Mus musculus: one gene and its partner. The protein of the gene in region 1 purifies or fractionates together with the protein of each later gene. This does not show direct contact. Links are inferred from orthologs where the notes say so. Each region holds a gene or a part of one and is shown on either strand. Other genes may lie near its edges.

Region 1 (3,515 bases):
CTCACAGAGACACACAATTAGAAATACTATCTTTTAATAAATAGTCTTGCATTGGTAATTACACTTATCTCTTGAATGAATGACCCTAACATAAATAAGTATCTCTACATCACTTACAATACCTGAGATAAAAAGGAAAAGAAGCCAGGCATGGTGGCACACGCCTTTAGTCCCAGCACTTGGGAGGCAGAGGCAGAGGCAGGCGGATTTCTGAGTTTGAGGACAGCCTGGTCTACAAAGTGAGTTCCAGGACAGCGGGGGCTATACAGAGAAACACTGTCTTGAAAAACTAAAAAAAAAAAAAAAAAAAAAAAAGGAAAAGAAATTGAATATTCAATACAGATGCAAGATTTTGTTAAGATAAGAAGCTTAAGTAATATTGCTGCCTCAGCTGGTAGCTAAGAGTACATGTCCCTACAGACAGTGAATGCATCTCTTTGGAGTGTGTGTGTGTGGGGGGGGAAGAGCAAGCCCATGGGCATGTTTGAGAGAGGGTCTCTCTTTGTAGTTCTGGCTGTCCTGGAACTCACCATGTAGACCAGGTTGACCTACAATTCACAAGAGATCTGCCTTCCACTGCTTCCCAGTCAGCTACTGCATTCTTTTTCTTTTCTTTTCTTTTCTTTTCTTTTCTTTTCTTATTTTTTTGGTTTTTCAAGACAGGGTTTCTCGGGCTGGCGAGATGGCTCAGTGGGTAAGAGCACCTGACTGCTCTTCCGAAGGTCCGGAGTTCAAATCCCAGCAACCACATGGTGGCTCACAACCATCCTTAACAAGATCTGACTCCCTCTTCTGGTGTGTCTGAAGACAGCTACAGTGTACTTACATAAAATAATAAATAAATCTTAAAAAAAAAAAAGACAGGGTTTCTCTGTGTAGCTCTGGATGTCCTGGAACTCACTTTGTAGAGCAAGCTGGCCTTGAACTCAGAAATCTGCCTGCCTGCCTCTGCCTCCTGAGTGCTGGGAAGTGCTGGGATTAAAGGCGTGCACCACCACGTCCAGCTCAGCTACTGCATTTTTAAAGAGTGTTTTTCAACCTTTGGTTTGTTGAATTCACAGATATGGAATTGATAAAAATGAAGGACTAACTTTGAAGCCAGCCGTAGAACACAGTAAGACCCTATCTCAAAACCAAACCAAACCAAACCGGAAAAAAGGAAGTAAACTTCCATCTAATAGCCCCAGGTTTAAGTATCATGTTGGTTTCAGTATGATCAAAGTTCTAGTTATTTCTGATGTTCTAGCATTAATAAGCAATCTTGCTGTAGGTAAAATGATTAGGTGAGCATGTATGCAGGTGTGGTAATGAGGAAGCAGTTTCAAGTTTGAAGAAGCAGCCTACCTTGTAATAGTGGAAGTAACAGCTACTACAAGTAAAACCTCAATATATACTAAACTCATGATCAAGTGTTTTATACTTCCTATCTCAATAAGCCTCAAAATAATACTATAAGGGATGCAATGGTGGGTCTATGAAGGGGAAACTCGAAAGGGGGATATCATTTAAAATAAAAAAACGAATAAAATGATTAATAATAGAAAGTAATAATACTAGGAGGTATGTATATCTATCAATTCTGAACAAGCTCAGCAAAATTAAGTGACTTATCAAAGTCCAAAGCTGCCAGGAATCCTAACAGCCAGGAGTCTAGGCAACCTCTATCAAATGTGTATCACAGACACTTTAAAATGTTTTACAATTTGAACAATAGTCTAGTACACCACCACATTGTCTAAGCACCTTTGCTACTGAACATTTGTACTGGGCCATGCCCATATTGACCAATTCAGGTTTACTAGAACCACTGCTAGACATTTTCAAAACAAACAAAACGTGCTTTAACATTAAGATATAGCCAGAAGTCTCTGTAACAGATTTTAGTAAATATTTATACAGGTAACCAAGTTTAAGATATAACTCAGTCTAATAATCAAATCTGTCAAATGCCAAGGTATCTCCAGAAAAGAAGATTCAAAAGATATATAATAACTAACTCAAAAATTTCAAAGTCGGGCTGGAGAGATGGCTGAGTAGTTAAGAGCACTGACTGCTCTTCTAGAGGTTCTGAGTTCAAATCCCAGCAACCACATGGTGGCTCACAACCATCTGTAATGGGAATCCGATGCCCTCTTCTGGGGTCTCTGAGGACAGCTACAATGTACTTAGATAAATAAATCTTTAAAAATAAAAATTTCAAAGTCACATTTACTCACTAAACTTTCAAGTACAGGGAGTGGCTTTTGTAAACTAGTTCTCAATTTTGCTAAACAAAGTTCTTTTGTGAATCACATGTACAAATATAGAAAATGAATACATGTTGTTCCAAATGGCTTTAAGTCTTTCATCTTATTTGCAAGATTAGTGTCTAAAAATTAAATGTATTTCCTTTCACCTATAATACATTCAGTGTGGAGACACAGAAATACCTACTTTAACTGGAAATTTTAGCTGATTGTAGACTTCTGAAACAAGAAGATTGTGGCTAAGTGTTTTTCTCATCTTCATAATTCGAACGATCGCAGCATCAATTTGGTACTGTCTGTCTTGAAATACTCTTTCTGTAGTGCTTGCTTGTTCTTCAACCTAAAACAAGTTTTCAAATAAAGTCAAACTTAATTAGGAACAAACTGTATATTAGGAACATAACAATGATACTGTTCTAAAGAGCTTGACTTATCTAAATGAGAGGAAAAAAAAAACTTAACAAACATAGTTCCTTTCTGTTGTCACTACTGCTCTGGACCAATAAAGTAATGCAATACAGAAGAGAAAAATACCACCTTTGAGCACTGGGAAGTAGAGTCAGTTGGTCAAGTACTTTCCCTGCAAACATGAAGATCTATCTCTTAAATTTAGATTTTTGTGAACTCATGTAAAAACAAGATCCCTAGAATACCCGATGGACATCCTGCCAGCCTAATTAGTGAGTTCTAGGCAAGTAAGAGACCATGTAAAGAAACAAGGTAGATAGCGCAAAGGAATAACACTGGAGGTTGTCTACTGGCCTTCCCTAAAACGTAAAATGTTTATATCCACTGATCCAAAAATTTACTTCCATAAATTCTTTTTAAAAATGTTTATTCCTATTTCATGTGCACCGGTCTTTTGCTTGCATATATGTCTGTATGAGTGCAAAAGATCTTCTAGAACTGAAATTACAATTAGTTGTGAGCTGCCATGTGGGTACTAGGAACCTAGTTTCCCTGGAACAGGCTAACTCTTGCTAAGTAAGCCATCTCTCCTCCCCCATGAAGTCACTTTAAGGAAAAGATCAGAGAGATTAAGATTTAGGTATGTTCAAGATTATATAACTTTTTAGCATTCTGTTGATTTTTTTTGATGTGTGTGTGGGGAGGGTATGCCTATTATATGAGTGTGGTTGGGGACATGAGAGGACAACCTTGGGCATTGGAGCTCAGGTACCTTTCTTTCATTTTCTGTTTGGTCTCTCTTATGAGCTTGGAACTTTGTCCTATAGCCTAGGATACCTGGTCCATGAGCCTCCAAGGATC
Region 2 (4,058 bases), on another chromosome or scaffold:
CATGTGGTTGCTGGGATTTGAACTCAGGACCTTCAGCAGAGCAGTCGGTGCTCTTAACCACTGAGCCATCTCTCCAGCCCTCGGTTATTTTTATTTTATGAAGAACTGCAGCAACATTGGGTTTTTGTTGTTGTTTGGTGTGTATGTGTGTGTGTGTGTGTGTGTTCAATGTATACACTGAACCCAGTATATACAGAATGCCAAGCAAGCACTCTCCCATAGAGACATATTCCTAACCCACTAAAAAATTCATTTCAGTGGCTACCAGGTATTTTTATAACTGTACAAAACTGACCATAATTTATTTAACCAACCTCTTATTGTATATTTGGATTTCTTTTATTTCCAGTATCCCACTATTATCAGTGATTGTTAAGCAGAACATACATTTTTATGTAGGTCCAAGTTTGATTACAGATAGCAGTATCACTAGGTCACAGTTTAGGGCTATGAGGGCTGGCTAGGACTGGTTAAAAAGATAAAGCATCTCTCAGATTAGACATTCTGAAAGGGTGTACCAGTAGAAATAAGGCACTTCTAGGCACATTTGATTGGCAGACAAAATTTTCGAATGAAGTAAAAAGACAATCAGGTTGGGAAGTCTGTATTTGAAGTAATAAAAAAACGAAAAAACAGTCAGCTCTTAAGAACGAAATACTTTTAAGAGTAGACTTGAGCAGATCAAGGAGTGGAAGAAGTCTGAAATGTGGAAAAACAGCCACTGTGAAAATAACCTCAAGTAATCAGTTAAAAAATATCTACAGAACTTGTAAGAACTAGAAGAGTAATAAGGAAGGAAAAATACTAAAATTATTACAGACTTTCCAGGCCAAATAACCCAAATACCTAGGAATCCTGAAAGTTCCGTGTATGTTTGAAATACCTGTCCACATAATTAATGGAGACCAGCCAAAGAACAAAATGCTGGGCGCTTGTTTACAGTTAAGAATTTTAAGGCAGTGACAACCTGCGTGGATCGGGAGAAAATGTTGGGGTCTCCGGCCTAGAGACCAGGAAACCTGACACAGAACCTGTCACATGCTCGCCCCGGGAGCTGAGGTGTCCTCGCGATGGCCCACCTCTGGGCCAAGGCCGACATCGCCCGCCTCTCTGGCCTAGGAAACCATCCCAGACAAGGTAGGGTTGGCCTTGGACTCACCCTAGTTACTCATAAACCAACGGGAGGTGGCGAGCGACAGAAGCCTAGGGACGGTCGGCAAAGCCCAGACCCAAGGGGCGCGTGCGCACTAAGGCAACCGGAAAGGCTCCGGGGACGGCCGCGGCACTTAGGGAGCGTATGCAAAGACCAAGAAAGGAAGCCAGGGGTCGTCAGACAAGACCCCCGCTGGTAAGCGTGTACACAGCAGGGTGGAGAGGCCCAGGTCCCACCAGTGAGGACTGCTTTCGACAGGCCGCTAGCGCTACAGCCAGGGGAAAACGGTTGAACTGGGGTTGCTGGGAGCTGAGGGAATAGGAGCGATTGGGCACGCAGTAAAAAACAAACAAACAAACAAACCACTCGAGGCCAAGCGACCTTAAGGGACCACCTCGCAGACTTGATGTCTAGTTCCGCTACGTCTAATGCAGGTCGCAGCCAATTCCAGTCCGCTACGACTAAACGCCCCTCTTGGGTTGAGCAAGTTCCCCAGCCCACCTATCAATCACAGGTCTCAGCTATCCAATCAGAGGGCCGAGGGGGAGGGACTGCTTGGAGCGTCGAGTGACGTCAGCAGGCCTGGCCGCCAGAAGCGTGACGGACGAGGCTCGCGACTGAGGAGCTGTTAGCCGGCGCCGCAGCGATAGTCGCTGTAAACAGGGCCTCGCCCCTGCGGGTCCTGCGACAGCTCCTGGCTGGTGGGTGGTCTCGCGTGGGGCGGTAACCGCCAGACGCCGGGGGGAGGTGCTTCTCCATTTTCCCTCCCCCTGTTGTACACACCCCCGGCGCACCACGTGGGCGTGAAGCTAAACTGGAGGGGGTGTTAGGCTGACTTCTAACCTCATTGGCTGTTGATGCTGCCGGCCCGTGCAAGAAATTGCTCTGATTGGTCAGTAGAGGGAGGCGTGGGGGGGGTCTGAGTTCTAACGCCTCTGGTTGGTTGTGTGAGATAAGCTAGTGAAATGCGTTCTTCCGCAAGGGGTTTTGATTGGTCAGTCGGAGAGGTTATCTGGGATTCAGCCATCCCGGGCCGGGGACTTTGATAGGTGAGTTTGGTTAGGAAAATGGGAAATTCCTCTTCGTGGACTCTGATTAGTACGGTAGGGTTGCACCCTAGGTTTCATATGGCTTTCTTTGCTTCACAGGATTGAGAAAGGTTTATGTTCCCGATACCCTGGGAGCTGTCATAGCTAAAGAGAAGGAAATCTCAGTCTCCTGGAGGGGTCACCCCTCTAAAGATAGCTTCTGCCCCGTTTCTGGAAACCCTGGTATTTCTACAGCAGGCTTTGCTTTCACCAAACCCAAGTTGGAGACAGGAGCAGCCCCTGCGCAAGACATAAGGATGCTGTAACCAGAAGATGGGATCACGGAACAGCAGCAGCGCCGGATCCGGGTCCTTAGAACCCTCTGAGGGCTTGTCCCGAAGAGGGACTGGCCTGCGTCGTAGTGAGGAAGAGGAAGAAGAGGATGAAGATGTGGATCTGGCCCAGGTACTGGCCTATCTCCTCCGCAGGTAACTTACCCTCTGCTGTGACACTAAGTGTCACAATGTCTTGACCTCAACTTCAGGCAGGAAAAGTGCAGAGGATAGGGAATGGCATTGTCCCAGGACAATGGTTGTGTTTGAACAGAACGACCTTTCCCTGCTGGATGTCCATACACTCTGCGTGGCTCCCTACCCAAAATGGTTCTTACAACTCTCATAGTTGAGGAGCTCCTAAGGGAAGCCTTTTCAGCTGTGACAACACAAATGTCATCAGTTTTCCAAGAAAATAAAACGAGAGAAGGGAGAGGGATTATGGAGGAAAGGAGAGATGTGAAAAGAGTTGGGAAGGGGGTGCTAAGTCACTTGCCATGTGAGATGAAGCCATGTGGATTTACTTGAAAAACAAGTTTACATCGGCCTTACTAGCCCTGCTCTTAAGAAAAGAATGCCCTCAAGGGGGTGACCACCAGGAACTAAGAACGTTTTGTTTGCTTGCCTACGGTTCCTTGGGAAAAGATGAACCTAGTATCCCTGCAGACCCTGTGTTCTGTGTTGCGTTCCTACACCGACGGCTGTGAGGGTTGTTGTTGTTGTCAGCTGGACAGAGTCTGAAATCACCTGGGGGACACGGCACACCTGGGCGGGATGGATTATTTAGCCTCTCTGGGCAGGCCTGGAAGGGATTATGGCGATTGGGTTCATTGGAGCAGGAAGACCCACTCTGAGCGTGGGTGGTGCCATTCCCATGTGGGTCCTAGACTGTATAAAAAGGAGAAAGCTAGCTAAACCCAACCATTCATCCCGCCTTCTTCCTGACTATGAGTGCTGTGTTACCAGCTGTTCCTGGCCCTGCTACTTTGATGGCCCCGCTATGACAGACTCTGCCCTTGAGCCATGAACCAGAATATACCTTCTCTCACTTAAGGTGCCTTTGTTGGGGTATAGAAGGAAAAGTGGAAGTGCTCTCCTAATTCTTAGCTCTTGAATTCAGGATATAGCTTTGTGGTAGAAGCTTACCCAGCATGCACTGAGCCCCTGGGTTCAGTCCTTAGCCCTGGGGGAAAATTATATTTAGCCCTGAGAGAAATCAATTTAGTAGGTCAGTCTTCATAACCTGTTAGAACTCTGTGTTCTTACTCTTAAGAGTTAAAGCTGGTTTCCTGCTGTGTCTTTTTTGTGTGTTTGGGGTTGGTTGGTTTGTTTATTTTATTTTTGAGTCAGAGTTTCTCTGTGTAGCCCTGGCTGCTCTGGAACTCACTCTGTAGACCTGGCTGGCCTTGAACTCACAGAGATCCACCTGCCCCTGCCTCCCAAGCGCTGGGATTAAAGGCATGCGCCACCACTGCCTGGCCCTACTATGACTTGTAGGAGACTTAAAATCCAATTTCAAAAGGAGAACCAACTGACTAAGAGCCA

The links.
Region 2: the proteins of Cul4b (region 1) and Dcaf11 purify together in Homo sapiens (affinity purification with mass spectrometry; 9 studies listed by BioGRID and IntAct, counting the BioPlex papers as one, with this or other methods). This does not show direct contact. The link is inferred for Mus musculus from reciprocal best matches to the Homo sapiens genes CUL4B and DCAF11.

The regions. Positions count from the first base shown.
Region 1 is NC_000086.7:38,534,689-38,538,203, forward strand, and holds part of Cul4b (cullin-4B), read right to left. Parts: intron 2,587-3,515; coding exon 2,434-2,586; intron 1-2,433.
Region 2 is NC_000080.6:55,558,774-55,562,831, forward strand, and holds the start of Dcaf11 (DDB1- and CUL4-associated factor 11), read left to right. Parts: upstream 1-1,255; 5' UTR 1,256-1,348; intron 1,349-1,667; exon of another isoform or gene 1,668-2,436; 5' UTR 2,437-2,514; coding exon 2,515-2,669; intron 2,670-4,058. UniProt on the Homo sapiens protein: May function as a substrate receptor for CUL4-DDB1 E3 ubiquitin-protein ligase complex.